Astyanax mexicanus: one gene and its partners. The protein of the gene in region 2 purifies or fractionates together with the protein of the main gene of each other region. This does not show direct contact. Links are inferred from orthologs where the notes say so. Each region holds a gene or a part of one and is shown on either strand. Other genes may lie near its edges.

What was found. Proteins that work in one complex are often made in the same cells at the same time.
Region 1: the proteins of phlpp2 (region 2) and usp1 purify together in Homo sapiens (affinity purification with mass spectrometry; 3 studies listed by BioGRID and IntAct, with this or other methods). This does not show direct contact. The link is inferred for Astyanax mexicanus from reciprocal best matches to the Homo sapiens genes PHLPP2 and USP1.
Region 3: the proteins of phlpp2 (region 2) and usp46 purify together in Homo sapiens (affinity purification with mass spectrometry; 4 studies listed by BioGRID and IntAct, counting the BioPlex papers as one, with this or other methods). This does not show direct contact. The link is inferred for Astyanax mexicanus from reciprocal best matches to the Homo sapiens genes PHLPP2 and USP46.

What each region holds. Positions count from the first base shown.
Region 1 is NC_064412.1:23,424,414-23,431,409, reverse strand, and holds the start of usp1 (ubiquitin carboxyl-terminal hydrolase 1), read right to left. Parts: upstream 3,019-6,996; 5' UTR 2,830-3,018; intron 573-2,829; 5' UTR 516-572; coding exon 349-515; intron 252-348; coding exon 128-251; intron 41-127; coding exon 1-40. UniProt on the Homo sapiens protein: Negative regulator of DNA damage repair which specifically deubiquitinates monoubiquitinated FANCD2. Also involved in PCNA-mediated translesion synthesis (TLS) by deubiquitinating monoubiquitinated PCNA.
Region 2 is NC_064423.1:38,447,816-38,455,733, forward strand, and holds the start of phlpp2 (PH domain leucine-rich repeat-containing protein phosphatase 2), read right to left. Parts: upstream 3,004-7,918; 5' UTR 2,858-3,003; coding exon 2,615-2,857; intron 2,368-2,614; exon of another isoform or gene 2,169-2,367; intron 1-2,168. UniProt on the Homo sapiens protein: Protein phosphatase involved in regulation of Akt and PKC signaling.
Region 3 is NC_064408.1:65,042,585-65,050,557, reverse strand, and holds the start of usp46 (ubiquitin carboxyl-terminal hydrolase 46), read right to left. Parts: upstream 3,019-7,973; 5' UTR 2,657-3,018; coding exon 2,621-2,656; intron 1-2,620. UniProt on the Homo sapiens protein: Deubiquitinating enzyme that plays a role in behavior, possibly by regulating GABA action. May act by mediating the deubiquitination of GAD1/GAD67.

The sequences.
Region 1 (6,996 bases), on a different chromosome or scaffold from region 2:
ACTTCACAGCCTCTTTGAACCCAGGGCAGTAATACAAGACCTGCAGTAAAAGACAATGTTCAATTTATGGTGTATAAACCGTTGCACAAAATAATGGACCTAAATAGTGTCCTACTGGTAAACTTACCTGAAGGATGCTGTTCAGGTAGCATGTATTTCCCAGATTGTTAAGACCTACAAAAGGGACAAGGCTCTCTCTCTTCTCGCAAGGAACAGAAAAAGGACAAGGCACTGGCACCACCTGGTCACAACTTGGAAAACATGAAGAAAGAAAACATTATTTTCATGCAAACTTTTGGTTACATGTTGTGTCATTAATTTGGGTGACTTGACTGTAAGGTCACACACCTTTGGGCTTCTTCTGGTTCAGCTGTGCTTGGTTCTTCTACTGGAGTTTCAGAGAAGTCCAGTGCTCTTTTGGTTTCTCTCTTCTGAAAGAACCGGAGGGAGAGGCGGCTCTTTTTGTTGGGGCTTCCCAGAGGAGCCACCACTCCTTCAGCCTGTAGGCCAGGCATTCTGCTCAACGCAACAGAGAGAAATTGCAAGCGAAATCAGACTGAAATATGACAAACCTGAAGAAAAAGAAAGGGGGGAAAAAAGGACAAACATGTTAAAATCAACACTCATTTTTCTATCTCTGATGTATTAAAAACAACATTGACATCCAACATCAGAATTAATTTATATGTGCACATTAATTTTAGGCTGATCCAACATCCAACGGTTTTGTGTATTCATGTTGTACATGTTAATCTATACTTACAGGGTATATACAGTGTCAGTGAAAAAGTGTGGACACAACTTCCTATTCACTGTTTTTATTTATTTTAATTTCCTACACTGCAGATTAATATTTATGACATCAAAACAATTAAGGGACACGTGGAATTATGCAGTAAAAAAATCTCAACCTGAATGAGATGGGTGATTTTGGATGAGCTGGAGCTTCACAGTGTAAAGGAAAAGCAGAAACTATTGTTCAGCACCTCCAGGAACTGAGAAAACTGAGAAATGCTGAGAAAACTATTCCAGGTGACTTTAACTCATGAAACCACTCAGAAAATACCAAGAGTCTGTACTCAAAGCTAAATGTGGCTACTTAGAAGAATCTAAAGTATAAAACATATTCTGGTTTGTTTAACCCATATAATTTACAAAATAATTGTGCATGTGTTCCTGTATAGCATTAATGTCTTTTTAATGTTAGATTTACAATGTAAAAAAAATTTAAAACGAAAATAAAATGAATGAGATTGAATGAGAGGAGGTGTGTCTTAACTTCTGACTGGTTTTGTATTTTGTTTGTATTCTAATCTTATGGCTTGTAGTGTAAAATCAAGTCAAATTTATTTCTGAAGCACATTTAAAAACCACAAGGGCCAACTAAAGTGCTGTACAGTACAAGAGTAGAAAATGTAATGTATAAAACTAAATAACAAATAAGATACAAGATAAGTAAACAAGAATAGTGTGACAGATGCCTATGAGAGAATATTAGCAAAATTATTTAGAGGTTGTTTTCACGTCATAAACATTAAATGCAGATAGTAATGCAACCTAAAATAACGTTACTTTGCTATCATACATTTATCTGAATGCAAACAACTGGTAGTTGCTAACCTACCTAAATTAGCTAGCTAACGTAGTCGACGTATGGTTTGTTCCCTTAAAAATCCAGTAAAAACAGACAGTGCAGGTACGGTTACTGGCTACAGACTATTTTAAAATAAAAATACTAAAAATAAAAAAAACAGTTAACGTTAACTTAACCCTAGAACATTGCTGGCCATGAGTGGCCCATGCGACTGAGGGTAAATACAGCGCTAGCTAGCTGGCTAGCCACAACTTATCCCACAGCTCCCGTTACGTGCTGCTAATAAGTTCGTTTAGTTTATTTTGTTTTTGCAAAACATACACACATAAAAAAGGTAAAAAAAAAATAGATAACAAAGAAAAGGAAGAAAACAAAACATCTATATCGTGCATTAAAACAATCAATACAAACCGAAAAGGTATAGGCTGAAGCTTTAGGTTAAGGTAGCTAGGCAGCTAGCTAGTCGGGGAGGGTGTTGAGTCGAGTTGCGGTACATGTCGATATGTGCTTTTACCACTAGCGCGCAAGCGCGGATACAAATTTTAAGCAATTTTTTGTTTGTTTTTACGATAATTCTGTTTAAATCGGGTGAAAAAAGCCGGACCACCTGTCATTATTTATAGTTGTATACAATTGTGTAAATGACACTTAATAATAAGTAATAGTAATAATAATAATAGTAATAATAATAATAATAGTAATAATAATAATAATAATAATAATAATAATAATAATAATAATAATAATAAGTAATAACACAACCAATACAAATATAAATAAAAAAACGGGTTGTTTTTCCTTTACTTTACCCTGACATATTGATTTAGGCTTTACAACAATCATACCGATACTACTTTCAAATATGTCGATTTTCTGGCATTTTTATGTTTAAATACACGCTAGGGTAGCACGATTTGACAGGGTAGCACAGCTCGACACAACACCAGCTATCTTGGCTAAGCTAGCTAAAAGTTACATAAGCGGGCCCAGTAAAATAACAGTAGACACAACACTTTTTCCATGATTCACTTTAAACATTAACCTAGCTATCTAACTATTATTACTGATCTGTATTCGAGCTCAGAGCACAGTTTAAACTAAGCTGGCCAAACATAGTGCAGCTCGCGCCAACAGCTTCACGCGCTGCCCTCAACTAACGTTACAACTTCCCACCTCACCTAACCTAACCTAACCTAACTACAGCCCAGTCTAAAAACACAACCAAACACACAAACCTGTACCGCACACGCTCCACCTAGCGCCTTATTCACATCCTCGGTTACATCTTCGTGCAGGATCTGCTGTATTTACCGTGGGTTCTCTGTAGTATATATTTCTTAAACTCGCTGCATACGCAGAAGATTTCGCAGAGGTTCTCGCCGCAGCGAACAACTTTGGCGGGCGCTTTTTCCAGCAGATGCACGCCCAAATTCTCCCCCCTTCATCGCCTGCAGGAAAAATGACGCTCGCTTTATTCAAATATTCCAGTATTTAATGCACAAACAGCAGCGTATCACACACGAATGCGAGCGAACGCAACTCTGAAATGTGTGATTCTTTAAAACACAATAAATTAAAACCAGATAATATGTTTTATTTATTGCACAGGCAACCCGCGGGACCACCCGTCTCATCACGTGTCCGCGGTGCTCCTTAGAGAGGCGGGTTCCTCGATTTCTGCAGCTTCTTCTTTTCATTCAGTCTCACCCGAATCTCTACTGATTTAAAACTGATTTGGATGTCTCTACTTTAACACGCGACACTCTTTTTACTCCGACGAGACCGATGAAGCGATTACACCGCTGAAAAAGGGCCGCACGTGCTAGGTTTTGATTCGACCTATGATTTTTAAAAGCGGGGAAGCGTTCAACCCAAGACATCGTCCAATCACGAGTCGAATAAAAAACGCGCGCCGTTTTTTTAAAGGCGATTTCATTTACACAACATACAATCTAAAACACAGAAGAAAACACAATATTAGGTCACAAAAAAAGTTCAAACAAACATGATTATAAAAACACAAAAGCACAGACACAAACCATAAACAAACACAAGCAAAAAAGAAAAGGGATTTATATAAAATTGAAAAGCTTAAACATATCTATAGATATGTGTCGAAAACTAGTCAGTAGGTGTTTATAATTATATGTCTAAATGTAAAAATGTTTGGCGAATTTTGTTTTGTGTATATGAAATTTACCAAAAGGAAGGGTCATCAAAAATATACAATACATACTGGACTGGGAATTTCCGTACCCAACCTTCTCTTCAGGTCTAAACAAAGATCAATCCAAAAAGATTTTCAATGCAATTCTATTGCAAAGAATAAAATATGCATGGCTAATTTACATATTTACATATAAATGTATGAATTAGCCGTGTATGTTGTAGCCATGTAGTGTAGTGTGGTTTAGGCCTGGCAGACTAGAACCTCTTTTTCAACTGTATTATAATATTGCAAGGTAAGCGTTGCTTTGTTAAATCGCTAAATCAAACAGCTAATGTTTCACCAGGCTGTCAATTTTGTCACGTTATTAATGTGTGGAAAGAGAGTAACATGTTTTAGTATTATATATATATATATATATATATATATATATATATATATATATATATATATATATATATATAAATTATAATTTAGTTGAAGCAGTTAGTTGGGAATGTTTAGGTTTGAATGCTTGAAAGGAGCTGTTGGACTGGCTGGAGGAGCATCACCCCGGTTTCCCAAGACCAGTTTATGCCCGCCTGCACGGTAAGAAACATGAATAATCTTCCTGTATTTCAGTATAAAACTGAACTAGAATCAGCCCCGTTCACACAGCACTGCACTCCTGATATACAGTAACCCGAGTAAACTCAGAACCGCTATAGAAAAGCTTTCTGAAGAAAATCCACATTATAGCGTCGCTGTGAGAAAGTCACGTGACCCCAGTCAATCAAACCCAATATACTGGAATTATGATATATAAAATATCTGATGTTATTGATTACAGGTGAGGGGCGTCCTTCTTCCGAGGCTTACGTGTTCCTCAGTCCGGATTTTCCTCTGCAGTTCATCTCCCTCCCCGAAGTCGGTAAGTTCTCTATTATCAGTTCTTTAGTCTCTCTCTCATAATCATGAATCCTCACATAAAATCTGTACATCTGTACATGTGCAGTTGTAGCTGATTGAATAGTGAATGAGTGTAGATGGTTTTGAGCAGCACTGATGTTTTTTTTTTTCTGTTTATTTGTTCATCTGCAGGTCTGTACTACCCCTTTTACTTCCCCACCCAGCAGAGCCGAGTACTGGAAGTGGTTCCTGTACAGCCTGGTTGCTCACCTGATCTACATGGATCTACAGTGGAACGAGAGGACCAGCTTCACCACATCCACCTGCAGACGCCTGGAGCCTCAACCACCCAGGAACAACAAGCGCAAGGGGCCCTGCGTTGTGCTCACCGAGGACGACTGGACACCACCCTGCAAGAAACTTCGCCTCTGATTCATCAATATCCTTTTTTACCAGTATCCTTTATTTAATTATCTTATCTTTGTATAACTTTACATTTCTGATACATTTATAATCTTTATGATTTTTAGAGAGTTGATAAGTTTATTTTATATTACTTTTTAATTTTCAATTTATTTTGTTGAACTAACTATTTATTTGTTTAATTAGCTTAACTAAGTTTAGTTTTGTAGTACACAGTTTTTCCTTGCCCCTTTTAGTCTTAATCTTACTTACTTAATAAAATGTATTCAAATATTACAAAAAACAATTAGCTTTTAACCAATGAAAATCATAAGATGTTACAAAAAACAATAAGCTTTTAAAACAATAAAAATAATAAAACAAAAATAGTTATCGTTTAAAACAATAAAAGTAATAAAAAAACAGCTAGCTCTTAAAACAATAAAAATAATAAAACATTACAAACAACATTTAGCTTTTAAAACAATAAAAGTAATAAAACATTACAAAAAATGAACTTTTAAAATATTAAAAAATATAAAAACATTACAAAAAACAATTACATTTTATAACAATAGAAATAATAAAAAATAAAAAAACAATTCACTTTTATAACAATAATAAAACATTACAAAAGATTATTAGCTTTTAAAATATTGTAAAATAATAAAACATTACAAAAAACAATTAACTTTTATAACAATAAAAAATAATAAAAAAACAGAAACAATTAGCTTTTGAAAAAATAATAAAACATTACAAAAAATATTAGCTTTTAAAATATTATAAAATAATAAAACGTTACAAAAAACAATTAGCTTTAAAAAAACATTACAAAAACAATACCATAAATAATAAAACAATAACAATAATAAAACATTATAAACAATTAGCTTTTAAAATAATAAACCATTACGAAAAACAATTAACTTTTATAACAGTAAAAAATAATAAAAACATTACACATTTTCAAAATATATCAGAATTTGTTTTGAAGTTTCAGAACTGTTTTAAAATGTTTTTTTATTAATAATATTTATTGTTTTAATTGTTAATGTAATTGTGTTGTTTTTTATTTGTAGAGAATATTATTAATAAACTTATTTTTAAACCTACATTTTGTCTCATGTCTTTTATTTCTTATATCTGTTTGTAAATATTAGCTACTCAATTGTGTGGCATGTTTTTTTCAGTACTGATGGCAGATATACACACAGTTTCAGTGCTGTACTATATGGATACACTAAACATTTATGATTTTTATTCATTTATGTTTTATTCAAAGATGTAAGTTTGTGTGCCACGATGCTCAGTTAAAGAGATCAACATTAGTCTTTTATATATAAGTGAGTGAACTGACTCAGGGTTTAATGTTGGTCATTTATGTAAAAGAAATAGAAGTGTAGCCATAATGCTCTAAAGAAATGAAAAATAGCAGGTGCTAATCACAGAAATCTCTGCATTGTTGTATAGTTTACACTACGCTACATTTATCTGCTTTTAACTGGGGTTATGTGGACCTTGTTGTTTACATTACACAAGCCAATAAAGATGTGGCTCACACCATAGACATTCTTTTACCTGAACAGCTTCAGTCCCGTTGTCTCATGAGTTTACATTCTCAAGCAAACCAGCTTTACCCACCAATCAATTTTAAGATATGTGCACAATTCTTTCCCTTCAAATTGTTAAAAGAGTATATTATATTAAGACTCCATGTACAACCAAAATAAGTATTTCTCACATTTTTTGGGGCTTTTATTTACTGTGGCCTGGCTGCACATTCAGTAGTGTGAGAGTTAACAACACTAACTTTAACTATTTGTAAACCTGTTTAGTTCATATTTTTTCAGTTCAGTGTTCACAAAAATATAAATGTATTCAATAAATGTGGAACAACGTTCATGCACAACGCTGCACATCTTTAAGTAGTTGACACACCAAC
Region 2 (7,918 bases):
CTATAGGGTATATATCCTTTAGTGTTTAATGGTTTATCTGGTCTACAAACATTATCATCTTTGAACAGAATGACTTCTGACGGGAAAGTGGAAGGAGTGGTGTGTGTGACCTCAAGCATACTGAGTTGCCCCCCCTGCTGAATATACAGCTCAAGTCGGTCATGCTGATGCTGTTTTTTGACCAGCCTTGATTTTGACCACTATAGGGTATATATCCTTTAGTGTTTGATTGTTTATCTGGTCTACAAACATTATCATCAGTACGCCTAAAATAAAATTCAACACACATTATGATGGTCAAGAGCTGGTTAACAAGTTAATTTACCTCTATAGTGCATGTTTTTGTCTGAAGAATAAGATTTTCAATCAGTTTGACTATTAAAGATCAGCTTAGACCATCCGAACCCTGCTACCAGCAAAAACCGTCCTTAAAACTGGATATTTCCACAGGGCCCTGACTATCTCAACTAGAATCCTACATCAGATGAATTTGGTGGTGAACTGAATGTCTGTTAAATGCTCAGAAATTGCTCAAGAGTAAAAAAAATATATTGCCTTGAAATTAGATAATTTTACTTGCTAAGTTTTTTTTTTTTTTTTGCTGTGTACAGCTGTATGCTAAACTAAACATCTTAAAATGTTAATATATAGTCATAACAACTGTTAACTATGTTTTTTTGTTACCTGAAAATCTGAAAAACATTACATTTATTTTATGAAGGTGTCAATATAGCCTAAAATCTAGCGATCAGCTTTTTGTATTTCGTTATCATCAATCATTTATCTTTATTTATTTGGTACTGTCACAGTTTATCAGATTAACCTCAGACATACATATTTAGCCACAAGGCTAACAGGTTCTAAAATCAACAGTTGGTGTAAGCTAACTGGTCATGCACTTTAGATAGCTAGCCAGCTAACAAACTACAAACAGTCAAACATGGGATTTAAATGCCCTTTAAATGATCATAAGATGCTTAAATGTGGAACTGACTGATATTAGTGAGTCAATATGGAATCTGTTGTATTTGGGCACTTTTAGAGACATAGGCCAAGTTGATACTCTTATACCTACATCTTTTTAATAGAAAAAATAGATTTAGATCATTTCACTTTCTAATATTATTTTTTTTTCGAAATGTAATGTTACTGCTCAACTGTATTAAACCACTGGTGTTTTTTATACATAGCCATAACAACTATGATATGTTATCTGTTTTTCCTGAAAAATTGAAAAACATTATGATCATTTTAGAAAAGTTTTGATAATGCTTAAAATCTAACAGTCAGCTTTCATTATTTCGTTATTATCGATCATTTATCTTTATCTACATAGTGCTTTCACAGTTTCAACTAAAGATTTACCTCAGACATACAGATTTAGCCACAATGCTAACAGGTTATAAAAGTGACAGTTGGTGTAAGTTAGCAGGTCCAGCGCTTTAGCTAGCTAGCAAACTAGAAACAGCGGATTGTGGGATTTAAATGCCCTTTGAATGTTCGGCAGTTGCTCAAATCTTTATCATAGAGAAAATAAGACTTATTGCATGGAAATTAGATAATTTTACTTGCTAATACTATTTTTTTTCTAAGTGTATGCTCAACTGTATTAAACCATAGCTGTTTTAAAAAAAAAATCATTGCAATTACTTTAAAAATGTGTCAATATAGCTTAAAATCTAGCGGTCAGCTTTCTTTATTTCGTTATTATTGATTATTTATCTTTATCTACATCCTGCTGTCACAGTTTAACAAAGGTTTACCTCAGAGGCGCAGATTTAGCCAAGATGCTAACAGGTTATAAAAGTGAAAGTTGGTGTAAGTTAGCAGGTCCAGCGCTTTAGCTAGCTAGCAAACTAGAAACAGCGGATTGTGGGATTTAAATGCCCTTTAAATGTTCAGCAGGTGCTTAAATCTTTATCATAGAGAAACTAAGATTTATTGCATGGAAATTAGATCATTTTACTTGCTAATAGTATTTTTTTCTAAGTGTATGCTTAACTGTATTAAACCATTGCTGTTTTTTAAAAACATTACAATTAACTTAACTTACTTTAAAAAGGTATCGATATAGCTTAAAATCTAGCAGTCAGCTTTCATTATTTCGTTATTATTGATTATTTATCTTTATCTACATAGTGCTTTCACAGATTCAACTAAAGATTTACCTCAGAGGTGCAGATTTAGCCACGATGCTAACAGGTTATAAAAGTGACAGTTGGTGTGAGTTAGCTGGTCGCGCGCTGTAGCTAGTTAGCAAAAGGGCGGGAAGGATCGGGGCGCTGGGTGTAAACCCGGTTAACCGGAGAGCCCGGCTCCTGTCAGGGTACAGACAGCTAGCTATCATCATCATCATCATCTCTCGCTGAACGGACGGACGGGTGGGAGAAGGGAGGGAGGGGGTCAATGGCGTTCCGAGCGAGGCGTTCTCGATGCTGTTCACGATGCTATTCACACACGTAGGCTGTTGCCTTTCGGCCCTCGTTAACGGGAACATCATCCCTCCGCAGCCGCTCGCTCACAGCTCTCGGTAACGGTAACCCAGCTAGCTAGCTAACTAACCGCATAACTAACTAGTTAACGAGATAAATAACTGACGCCACAGATGTGTTACCTTTAAAACCCGTATCCCCGTGGTGCCACCCCGGGCTGCCACAGCGCCGCGCTCTCCCGCCCCCTCGACAAGCCCCGGCTTCGGCTTGGTCCACGCAGCCTCAGCGCCAGCCCCCGCCGCAGATCCAGTCACCGCCACGGCCACCGCCGCGCCGCTCCGGTCGCCGTCCTCCACAGCAGCCCCGTTTTTCGCGTCCGCCTCGGCATTCCGCACCGGCCTCGCCGCGTTCTCCTCGTCCTTCATCCTCTCGCCTACATTTACGTCCCGTTTTCAACCCAAACGTCCAGATGTCGCGTCGCAGCTGACCAGCGGTAAATTCCAGCACAGGCGGCGGCGGAAAAAGCCCATCCTGATTCGGTGAGACGCCATAATGGGACCGAATCGCACGGCTGTCAGATCCGCGCTCAATAAACAGTAGAGGGCGGGGCTAATTATTATTCATGAGGCACTGCCCATTCCTGGGCTTCGGATTTAATGAATTATTCATGAGAACAGGAACGCCCAAAACAGGTGCTTCGTGACAAATGATAGGAAATATATAAAAAATCTTGTGTTTTTATCTCTTTTTATGATTCATGTTTTTTTTCTTTTTGAATACAATATTTTTTGGCCAGGAATTAAAAGCTATACAGGAACTACAGGTTGGCGATATTGCCCCCAAATAATATTTTTTTTATAAAATAGTATTTTTGCTATTAATTATTTTTTTGTACATATTATACATTTTTATTAATTTCAAGAAAATACTACTGCAAAAATATGTTTGTTTTCATTTTATTCAGCATAAATCTAAACGTTTCTATGTACAATCTATAAACATTTGTCTATTTCATAAAAAGTAACTTACCGAGACTTTAATTTTATATAAAATAATAGTAAACAAAAAAATAAATTGTAGGAAAAATAGCTTAATGTAATTACAGAACAACAAAACAATCTACATCTCAAAATTAGAAAATTTGCCTTATTTCAGTAATTCAGTTCAAAATGTGAAACTCTTATATTATAATAAATGTATTACACACAGAGTGATCTATTTTAAGCGCATATTTAGTTTATTGTGGATTATTTTGTCTTACAGGCATTAAAAACCCCAAAATTAGTATCTCAAAAAAATTAGAATATTATTTAAGACAAATTCTACTTTTGGCAATGTGGGCAGTGTACCAAGTCCTGCTGGAAAATGAAATCCTCATCTCCATAAAAGTTGTCAGCAGAGGGAAACATGAAGTGCTGTAAGATTTTGCGTGAAAACAAAACTGCACTGATTTTAGACCTAATAATAAAACACAGTGGATCAACACCAGCAGATGACATGTCTCTCCAAACCATCACTGATTGTGGAAACTTCACACTACTACTTTATTTCCAAATGAAATGTAAAATTTGCTGATGGTTAGTGATGGTTTGGAGAGTCATGTAATCTGCTGCTGTTGGTACCAGTAAACAAAAGTATATTTAGTGCCTGTGGATAAACTGCAAACAAACAATTAAAAATAAATACAGTAAATAAGAAAACAAATACAAAATAGACAGCTTCAAAGAATATTACAATATCACAATATGGAGGTATTTTTTTATATGTTCAAAAATTTGCACTATTTTTGCGTATGATACGATATGGCACATGGAATTATTTTGTGAACAACAACATAAAAAGGGGGTTAAACAAATGAGAATATGTTTTATACATTAGATTCTTCTAAGTACCACTTTCAATACTAAAACAGGGTGGTTATCAGTCCTAATCTATTAGTACTTCTACTCTACAGGACAACTGGACATGTAATGTATAATAATTTACATATAACAAAAAGTAATAGAGGCTAGTTTTATAAGACGTCACACTTATGTATATAGCTGTAAAAGATTTTATCATAAAATATACATTCAGTTTGATGTCATGCATCACAAAGATCATCACAAAGTCAATATGCTTAGTTTTGTATTTCATGGGCGTGTCTCATTCTTATCAAAGAGCAAGTTCACCTTGATAATATAGGCTTAACAAAGTTTATATATGGTTTTAAAGTTCAAATTTAAACAGTCCTGAACATGGTCACTTCATATGTCTCACACACACTTGTCAAACCACGTGTTAAAGATAAATAAAATGCCTCTAATGTTTAATATTTAACCTTTTTTGTACCAGCCCAACTAAGTAGAGGTGACAGGCCATATGCACTATGTAATGGGTGCTTATCTATATATAGAAAAAACAGACCTTAAACAAAGACCCACAAGGTAAGCCAACACACAACAACACAGATTCAGAGTAGAGACTTTACGATTGGGTAGTAAAAACTGTCCAATCCAGGCTATGAAGGAATCATGTAGTAAATTAAAAGTGTTAAACAAACTAAAATACCCTGTGAAGAAGCATTTAGGTGCTCTTATCTGGGGAGCTGTTAAGTTGCGGTTTCCATAGGTGGTAACTCTAAAGAACTTATCCTGTGCAACAAAGGAATCTTTTGCGCTTCCTTTCCTGGGGCGGTCCTGATGAGTGCCAGTTTCATCCTAACGTTATTAATGTTTTTTTGCTGTCTTTTTTTTCTTTACTTAGTTGAGTAGTTCTTGCTTCTCATAATCTGGATTAGAACATTACTCAAATATTCCCTATTCACTGTATACCTGTAACTCTACCTCTGCACTACTTTACTTTAACTGATGCTCTCAAACACTTTATTATGAGACAAGAAATTCAAGTAATTAACTCTTGACTAGTTCAGCTGATGAAGATGTGTCCTAACTTTTGACAGGTATTGTGGCCAGTGGACAGAGTTTACTTGAGGAAAATGTGTGTATTTTAAATCCATTTTAAGTCTATATGGAGAACAACAAACATACACTTTTTTATTTAAGGTAATGTCATTATTTATCTTTATTAAGAATTATATATTTAAAGTAACCCTAAATATGCTACATGTTCAAATATATGTTTGTGAATGCACCTACTGCTGACACATAGACGTCCTAATGCACACATAGACAGTGGTCTGAAAAAGTTTGGGCACCCCTGATCATTTTGATAATGATTTTCCTTTATAAATCATTGGTTGTTCAGATTAGAAATTTCAGTTAAATATATCATATAGCAGATGAACACAGTGATATTTGAGAAGCGAAATTAAGTTTATAGGGTTTACAGAAAGTGTGTAATAATCCTTTAAACTAAAATAGGCAGGTGCATAAATGTGGGGACCCCAACAGAAAATACATCAAATCAATATTTAGTAGATCCTCCTTTTGCATAAATAACAGCCTCTAAACTCTTCTTATAGCTTCCAATGAGGGCTGGCTTCTGGTTGAAGGTATTTTTGACCATAAGGGTGCCTGCATTTATGTACCTGCTTAATTTTGTTTTCAAAGAATTATTGCACACTTCCTGTAAATCCTATAAACTTCATTTTACTTCTCAAATATCACTGTGTTCGTTTGCTTTATGATATATTCAACTGAAATTACTGATCTGAACAACCAATGATTTATAAAGAAAAATAATAAAAGTTATCAGGGTTGCCCAAACTTTTTTTTAACCACTGTACACACAGCTTATCTAGTCCCTAAAATAGATAAATACAATGAACCTATTGGTGCCTTGCTTAATCTAATGGAACGTGTGGGCTAGATAAAAGGTTTTATGGAATGATGGAGCTCCATCCAATGCTTGAATGCGATGAATTGCTAAATGCAACCAAATCCTCACAGCAGTGCTTCAAAAATCTAGAAGAAAGACATCCCCGGGACACAACAAGATGACAGACTTGTTTTTAATACCCTTGATTTCAGAAAAAATCAATAAATTAATAGGCATCCCACAACCTTTATCCATATAGGGTTTTTAAGCCCAGTTTTTTATACTGAGTACACAAGAAACTCAATTTCAAACCTACTAGCAGAGGGATTTAGTCAGAATTGTAATACAAAATATTATTTTTCTTCGTATTTTATTTAGTTAAGCTATTTTAATGATATAGGGCACTTACAGAATACTGAGTGTTTTACTAAACTCCATGAAAAACAGTAAGAAATACTGTGATTTCACCTGTGACACAGACTGCAGCATTACTCCATTCCTCCAAGCTATTTCTACATCCTCCCTGTGAGGCACGTGAGAGTGGATGCTGTCACTAAGATGGAAAAGCACAAACCTTTAAACATGACATCAGTGCATAATGACTCAGTATTTTACTGAAACACACAATGGCTCTATACTTTATCATATCTGTCTTATCACAGACTCAGCAGTTCATCACGTACTGATATAACCTTTCCAGTATAGTGATTTACAGGATAATTCGTGTATGGTTTTCTTATCAATACATAACATTATTATTATTATTATTTTACAGTTCTCCTATGTCACCACAAGAGGGCAGCAGTGTAACAGATAATCATAGACTCTACCCCAGGGTTCTTCTGTGGTTCCAGAACCTAAAAGAGAACCATCTAAACAAACTCCTGGGGTTTATTTTAGATGAATGCTTCTCAGGAGAGCCAATTATACCCAATGAAAGAAAACATATGGAAAAAGGAGAACAATTGATTGTGAAGAATTACCTCAGGGGATGGCTTGAGGACGTGGGAACCCACACCTGTGTAAGTTGTGAGGTGTTATCTTGTGTACCACTGTGGGTGGTAGTGATGGCGACCGGTGGCATCTGGCTAGAATTGTCCATGCAAACAACAAAGTACAAACAAGAGACTCGGGCAGAAAATCACATCCATAATCAGTGCAGAAGACCCCACACACACATATCCCACAGCTTTTAGGCGACGTGGCAAAAGTCATGGGACACATGAAGCAAATAAAGCAAGCTGTATACAGGCTTTTAGTGATAACTTAAGGAGACTTCTCTTTTTACATTCTCAAAATTAATTGCACCATTGACATTTATTTTGTCAAAAAACAAGATAAAAAGTCAAAGAAAGCAGAGATACATTATATACTAGTGCATCTCAAAAATGTAAATATCATTTAAAGGTTTTTTAAGTCTTTATTACTTTTATGTTGATGATTATGGCTTACAGCCAATGAAAACACAAAAATCAGTGTCTCAGAAAATTAGAATATTATATAAGACCAATTGGTACTTTTGGCAGTACTGTGGGCAGTGTGCCAAGTCTCCATAAAAAGGGAAGCATTAAGTGCCGTAAGATTTTGCTGGAAAACATTGGTTTTGACTTTAGACTTGATAATAAAACACAGTGGATCAACACCAGCAGATATCAGACATGTCTCTCCAAACCATCACTGATTGGTGGAAACTTCACACTAGACCTCGAGCAGTTTGGACTGTGTGT
Region 3 (7,973 bases), on a different chromosome or scaffold from region 2:
ACATTTATCAAAATAGATAAATGTGAAAAAGATATTTGATCATACATATGTAAGCAGAGAATCTGATGATGAGGCTTGCTTCCTTTGAACAGGAACTGAACTGCCCTACAAGATGGATTTTCAGGAAAAGATTCAGGAAGCAGTCTTCTCATCTAGTGAAACTTGAGAAATACTTTACTGAAAAAGAAAAAAACATGAAAAAAAGGCTTTGCAGTCAAATGGTCTGGCAATGTGTACAGATTAAGAACTCTCTCTGCTTGCTGCAGGCTGTCAGCTTGGCTCGCTGCTTAACTTGCTCTGGCACTTCACCTGAGCCTGTGCACAGCAGGTCGCCACACATCACTCAGATCAGTTGAGTTTAATAACTGCCAGACAGCTTAACGATCAGACAGCGCCAATGACTGAGCACTGACCTGAGCCCTGTCTGACTTTTCTATTATTCATTTAAAAAACTCTGGATTATATTGGGAGTTTCTGATGTTGACATGTCTGCTTTGCAGCACCTGTGATGGCCCCGTAAGGCTGGTTTGCGAAGAAACTGTTTACTATGAAAACAATCCAAGCTTACTGCATAGAGCATATAGGTATAGCTAAGTTTATCACATTGGTGTGACTTGTACACCTCAGAGATGTTCAGGTGTGTAACTAGCTAGTCCACTGTCTGGTCTGGAGTTCTTAATGACAGTCACAGTTTGCTAGCTACAGTATGAAAAAGAAACACGGGTAATCCTAATGAAATTCTCAAATTCAAATGTGAGTTTCAACTTATTGCTGCAAATAATGAATATTTTGTTATCTTACTAATCTGATAATCTTTTTTTTTCCAAATAGTCGATTAGCCACCGATTTCTGCCACCCTCTCACTAAGTTTTATCTCCCATGTTCAAGTCTGTGCACTTGTGAATGTCACCCTGTTTTCCAGTCTCTACCTTAACATTACACAAGTTTCCATAGGAAATTAAAAAATAACCGATAAAACGTGAATATAAACTAAGGCTTAGTAGCTTAAGCAAATGTAACTGTTTGAAATATCCCGCCCCTTTGCCTTTTAGTCCCAGCACTTTCTGTAGTGTGGTGCATTTACAAACAATTACTCAATATTTGGATCCCTAGTTTCAATGGATGTCAATGTGGCTCTTCATGTCTGCCCATGCATAACATGCATGACCACAGACTCCATAGGTCAAGCTTGTTAAACTGGTTTTCAGCAGCATAGGCTTAGTTTTAGTTTAAGTACTATGGTTTAGCTGATCTATAAGCAGGACCTGACCAGGTTAGACAACCAGTATGATCAAGCTTGACCATTATGGATGATCAGCATGCCCAACCAGAATGACTAGCCTGCATATCCAAGGACGGCCCAAATGCAAAAATCAACAGCAGGCTGGTCATGTTTTCGCCTGGATGTCCAGCTTTTCAACCACCTTAACCCCCATTGACCGCTTAGACAATCTGAAACCAACTACCAGCAACAAAAACTGGTTTTGAGCTGGATTTCTCAAGACAGTCATCATTCTCCTCCTTCTTTGACAGCAAAAACTGCCTTTTGGATTTCCACATTTGCTAACTAACCTTATATGTCACTGTAGTTGTGAACTAGCTCATACAACTTCCATTAAAGTTAAGGATTCAGGTCTGTGGGAGTAAAGCTAGGATATCTAGCTAGCCAAGTTAACATCTACTGCAGATGTAATTTTTCTATTTTGCATATTACCATCTATTTGCACTGCTCTTATAGTGTATATCCTTATTTGCATTTGCATTGCTGCTCCTAGTACATGCATACTGCATTTCTCTCTCTATATATATTTACAGCTCTGGAAAAAAATAAGAGACCACTTCAATTTCTGTATCAGTTTTTCTATGATTTTGCCATTTATAGGTATACGTTTGAGTACATTGAACATTGCTGTTTTATTCTATAAACCACTGACAAAGATGCAGAGCTTTCAGACCTCAAATAATGCAAAGAAAATAAGTTTATATTCATAAAATTTTAAGAATTCAGAAATCAATTTTTGATATAATAGTAACCCTGGTTTTCACAGCTTAACAGCTTTTATATATCTTGGCATGTTCTCCTCCACCAGTCTTACACACTGCTTTTGGATAATTTTATGTCACTCCTAGTGCAAAAAATTTAGCAGTTCAGCTTGGGTTAATGGCTTGTGATCACCCATCTTTCTCTTGATTATATTCCAGAGGTTTTCATCATTTTTAAGTGGTCTCTTATTTTTCCAGAGCTGTATACTGCACTTCTGGTTAGATTCTAGCTGCATTTAACAATAAAGTTTAATCCATTCTAGTTTAACACTACCTGACCTAGGTTAGCTCGCTAGCTAGGTTATATTAATGGCCCAACCAAGCCAGCAACTCCTTATTAACCTCTCCTAACCTACATTTGTCCTAATAGAGAAACCTACGCAGCAGGGAATCTGCACGTTATCATGTTAGCTGGACGGACAGCCCCTGCACTTGCTCCCGCTCCCCGGATCAACTCGAGCCTCGACATCAGCATCCCTGCAACCAGGCAAAGCGCTCAGCTAGCCAGCTAGCCGGTGACTAGCATTCATGCTAGGTTAGCTAACCTATCAATGGGTGCAGAGCTCCGTGTACTCACCATATTACAGATGGAGGCGATGTTTCTGACAGTCATTTAGTTCACAGGGTTCCCCTCGCCGACATCTTCATAAAACAAACATCACTGGAGAAGCTGCAGAGCTGAGAGCTGTAGATGATCCGCAGCCCAGCTGGACCAGGAGAGGCCAACCGCAGTGCCTGACGAGCCCTGACTCACAACACACTGATATTATAACGTTACCCCCTTAGAGCAGTGTTTTTCTCCACTCAGAGCCAAACAAACCCCCCGTCTAAAAGACAAACATCTCCAAAACAAAGCTCAATTCATTTTAGTCGCTAAAATCGAGCCGTTATTTTGAAATTCTGAGAGAAATCTGCAGTAAACATCACTGCTCTTGGCAGGTAACCTAGGTTAACTAGCCAGCTAGCCAGTCAGGACGCCCCGCCCACGCCCCGCCCACTCTGACGGCGAGCCGCTTTGAAGTTAGGGTAACCAGGGCTGGCTTTACTGTGATTGACATGCTGTTCCACCAATGAGAGCCATGGATCCAGTTCCGCAAACGCCCAGTGTTGTACACTGTAGCCAATGAGAGAATATTCATTCAGGAAATTATTGTGTTTTTAAAATGTGTCAAATAAACTACATATTAATTTCTGTTTATTATCGAATTATACTTATATTTAGAATACAAAAAAGGAAACGTAATTTTAACGTCTACTTTTAAGAATAAAAAAAATGTAATTACATTTATCTACTTTTTATTTTAATTACTTTACTTTAAACAAGCGTGTAAAATAAACATGACAGTAAGCTAATTATATTAAATATGTGTTGTTCATCAAGGATGTGAACAGTTAGTTTAGCTAACATAACATATGTTATTCAGAGGAGTCCTCTGTATGTGTGTAGTGGATCCAGCGCGTGCCTGTGTCTTTAAAAGTCCCATAATCCCCCTCTCTCTCCTCTCTGCTCGTTTCTCCCTCCTCGAGCCTGACTCTGGTCTTTCTGTTCTGCAGCTGAGAGCAGATGGAGCTGTGTCTTAGGGCGTGTTTGGAAGGTGAGAGTTTAGAATACCAACATTCATGCTGTGTTTAGATGTTAAACCTGTTATCAGATCTGCATCATTAAATCAGCTGCGGTTAGGTTTCATATGGATATATTTGTTGACTAGAGAAGTCAGAAATGTGCTGCTAGCTCTGGTAGTTAGCACTGCTAAATACTTCTGGTTAGATTATCGTTAGAGTATCTTGTTAGCTAACTAGTTAACTTAACTTAACTAAGTTATTGTTACTTAAACTTGTATTGGCTGCATGTAAGTGCGTTGGAAAAGTTTTATATTCTAGGCTGTAATTTTTTTAAACCCCATGAACACGTGGGAGTTGTGTGGTTGGGCCTACTTTATTAGCTACCTAGCGGTTAGCTTACCCATGTGGTACAGGTAGTTAGCTTACTACAAGATTTACGTTTTTATTAATTCCACAGAAACTGTAAACTATTGTCTACTGACAATAGTTATAATTATATTTATAAATATAATTATCTTGGTTTTGTCATTTGTGTTCGCAGTCTTCATGTTACTTCAATGCCTGTCCTTTCTGATATTCTAGGTTGGAGTTCTGAACCACCTGGTTAAGTGGTTTTTGAAGCTTTCAATGAGCACTACAATGGTAACTGCAAAGGTTAGGGTGTTTTTATTTTTATTTATTTAAAATCGAGATACATACCCCCTCAGTGGAGCTCATTTAAGACCATGCATGTCCTTAATGATCAATATACTAGGGGTAAAAAAAAAAATCTCTCAAAAACCTATGGCACAGGTTATAGTCCTTGCTGTGGATCCTGTCGGGAGAAACATGTCTAATAATTGACCTAAAAGTTTTAATAGTTAATCTTCTAACAGTAGCTGATTTTAAATGTGATTTCTTTTTCTTTTTTTCTTTTCTTTTTTTGTCATCTTTTCAGAAGTGGCTTGCAAGTGTGGATTCAGGCTGGAATAATGCCCTCTACACAAAACCTCAGGTGAGTCTTAGTTTTTGCCTTTAAATGACATTTTAATCTGAGTCATTCTTACTTCTCTGCATGTGAGGTAGTTTTTCAAATTTGATATGGTCGTTTACACAGGAAAGCTGTCCTGGTTTGTAGTTGGAACCCAGCACTTAGTAGGTAAAATTAACTGCTTAAGAGAGAAAGCAACAAGACTAATCAAATTTAGTAATGTTTTGGAAACATGCACACAATTATCCCCTTTATTGCCCATTTAGGACTGGCCATGTCTTAAATGGATAACACAGGGGGGTAGACTAATTCTCTCAAAAACCTGAAGTGAAGGCTTAATATTCCTTGCTTCGGATCCTGTCGGGAGAAACATGTTTTTATACGCATTAAAAATCAAAGATTATTACCAGTGACCATTCTAATGTGATTGCCTTATGTTTGCAGATAAGAGGTATGCAGATGTAGCCCCTGTCTGAAATGGGAGGTGTCTTGCACAAAGCTGGTAAGTCCTTTTAGAAATTGAGCTTTAAAGTTGCTTATACTTGTTTATCCCCTTTATTGCCCATTTAAGACCAATTATGTCCTAAATGATTAACACAGGGGGGTAGAAGAACTCTCTCAAAAACCTGAAGTGAAGGCTTAATATTCCTTGCTTCGGATCCTGTCGGGAGAAACAAAGTTTTCTTAAATACATTGCCAATTTTCTCAGGTTTGAATTCCTCTAAACCACCTTTATTTACAGATGCTGGAAAGACATGTGGATTGTGGCTGTTGCAGTAGGTGACCAGGTCAAGTTAGTCAGGTAAGCAAATTAACTTTTTAAAGGAATTAAACGAAGTTTAATTTTAAAGTTTAATCTGTTCATGCTCTAAGTTTCTGTATCTAGTGGTCATTGATTCTGTTACAGACTTTAGGGTGAGTGGGGGAAAGTCTGAAACTTAAAGTTCTTAAATGTCAAATCTGTTGAACCCCAGTAGACTATTACTGAATTTTGGTGCAAGATAAATCTGATGCTTTGTCTATATAATCCATTTCTTTTCTTTACCAGAATCTGCCTTCTGAGCCCTTGGATGCAGTGGAGCCCTGTTGATGCTACAGCCTTGACATTTGCCACAGCCTGTAATTTTAGACCAGAGGTCTTTTGCTCTGACCTTAAATCTAGATTGGAAAGTGCCATTATTAAAAGAGAATGAGAAGTTGAGTAGTGTGGGATATTTATTTTATTTTATTTTTTTATTTTTAAAATAATTAGTTTCTCCTTTTCTACCTCAATGTATTTTTCTAAGGTTTGATTGAAATTATTTCGTTGCCCCTTATACATTGACTTGTACAGCTTTGTATAACTTATGCTTTGCATGTATATGCTGTTATCATTACGGTTTTATTCCAAAGCCTATGATCAGACAATGTCTACGTAAAAATAAAGTAATGCTGGAACCTCAGTTGTGCCTGTGTATTTCTGATGGGCTTATAAACCTGGCTTGCAAATTGAAATATTTGTCCTTTCAATAAGGTAGGAGTGCAAGATGTGTAATGTAGTGACTTAACATCATGATGCTAAATTTATTAATCATGTGCTAGCAAAAATGTCAAAGTGTACAGTACTAAATGGTACTGTACTCAGAATCTTCTCTTTAGAATTATTGCCATTCTCCATTATTGATTTTAAAACAGTGTCTTTTTAATAAATGTTGTATTTTAGTAGTGTAAATGCTTAGCATTGTCTTCAAAAGCCATTTTTAGCCGATCCTGGGCTCGAAAGCAGCTTTCACACTTGATCAAGTGTACCTACAGAAAAAGCACACATGGGCCCAAAAGAAGAGCCTTGATCACAAGTGATTTGAAAAGGGAGAAGCACTCACTGTGTTGGGCCCTAGTGGTGAATACACTTAATTATGTGAAGCTCTTAATCATGGTAAGGAAGCCTATGTACTGATTAAAAACAGATTGTGGATTTGTGCATGCAAGTGACCAAAATGAACGCACATCTACATCCCAAAGCTGGTCTTACTTTTTGTGATGAGGGAAGCTAGGTGTAGAGTTGCTGCTCCTTTGTTTTGAGGGGAGTCAGTTGAAGCGGATTAGGAATCTGAAAAGGATCCCTAGTCAATTTCTAGTGGAGGTGTATTCAGTCTGACCACCTGCTATGAGACACAAGGGAATGCTGGGGATGTGGTAGAGGAAGGAAGTGGTAGTAGAATGAGCTGGGAACAGGGTTGTCTGGGTCTGGGCTCTTTTCTCACCTTAATTTTACTGCAACCATGAAATGGATCAAGCGGATAGGAAGATTTATAAAGAAAAGATTAAGAATATGTGGATCCCAATTACAAGCCTTACATTGCCTATCATGACGTTTTATAAATGCTTATTAGAAACTTAAAATGCTTGACCCCTACTTCTGCCATAATCTGCCCCACCCAACGCACTGATCTCTTGTCTGGCTGAACGAGCGCTCTTACAGTGCAAATTAAGTTCAAATTCAGAAATCCTCTGAACCAATTTTACAGTCCAGTTTATTATGCATTCTTTATTTCAGCACCCTACGTTGATTTTATCTCCCCTCAAACATACAAGTATATACTATTATTTTGATTGACATTATCAATATACATATAATTGCGTTCTTTCTTTGATTTACATTTAAATATCCACTATAAAAATATACATCAGAAGAAAAATAAATGCGTTTAATCGCAGTTAATCACAGAATTTTGTTGTGATTAATCTGATAATTTTTTTGAATCCATTGACACCACTAAAAAATATACTTACCTGGTTGTTGTCCTTTGAGGGTCTTTCTTCTTATTCTTCTTTTCCTCGTGAATGGCGGTTGACAACGACTTTGGTGTATTACCGCCACCGCTTGACTGGAGTGTGGAACAGTAGCTGCCTCTTCTAAGAAATGAAATGCGTCTAATTAGACCTGTCTCTTACAGAAAAGTAAATAAAACAATATAAAATCTTTCCAATATTTCTTTGTAAGATATTTTTTAGACTGAATGCTGTGTCATTGGCCTCTACTTGTTCAATCAGAGTCTGTCTCTCTTGCTGGAATTTCCTACAGTGAATTAGGACATGCTCTACAGTTTCTGGGCTTTCCATACATTATTCACAGGTACCATCAACATGCCTGTTCATTCTAACAAGAGTGCTGTTCAGCCTACTGTGCCCCACCCTCAGTCTGGCCAATACCACTTCCTCTCATTTTGTACCTTGGGGGTCTTTCTGGGGAATGGTGGCCATCTTAACTCCCCTTCTTGTAGTATCATGGTGCTCCGTATGTACTACAAGATGGGGGGGACTTCTTATTGGAACACCTGGGGGAGAGAAAAGTTAGTACAAAAATATGTTAATACTTACCATCTAGTGAAATTTCCAAAAATCTGTATGTAAGTGT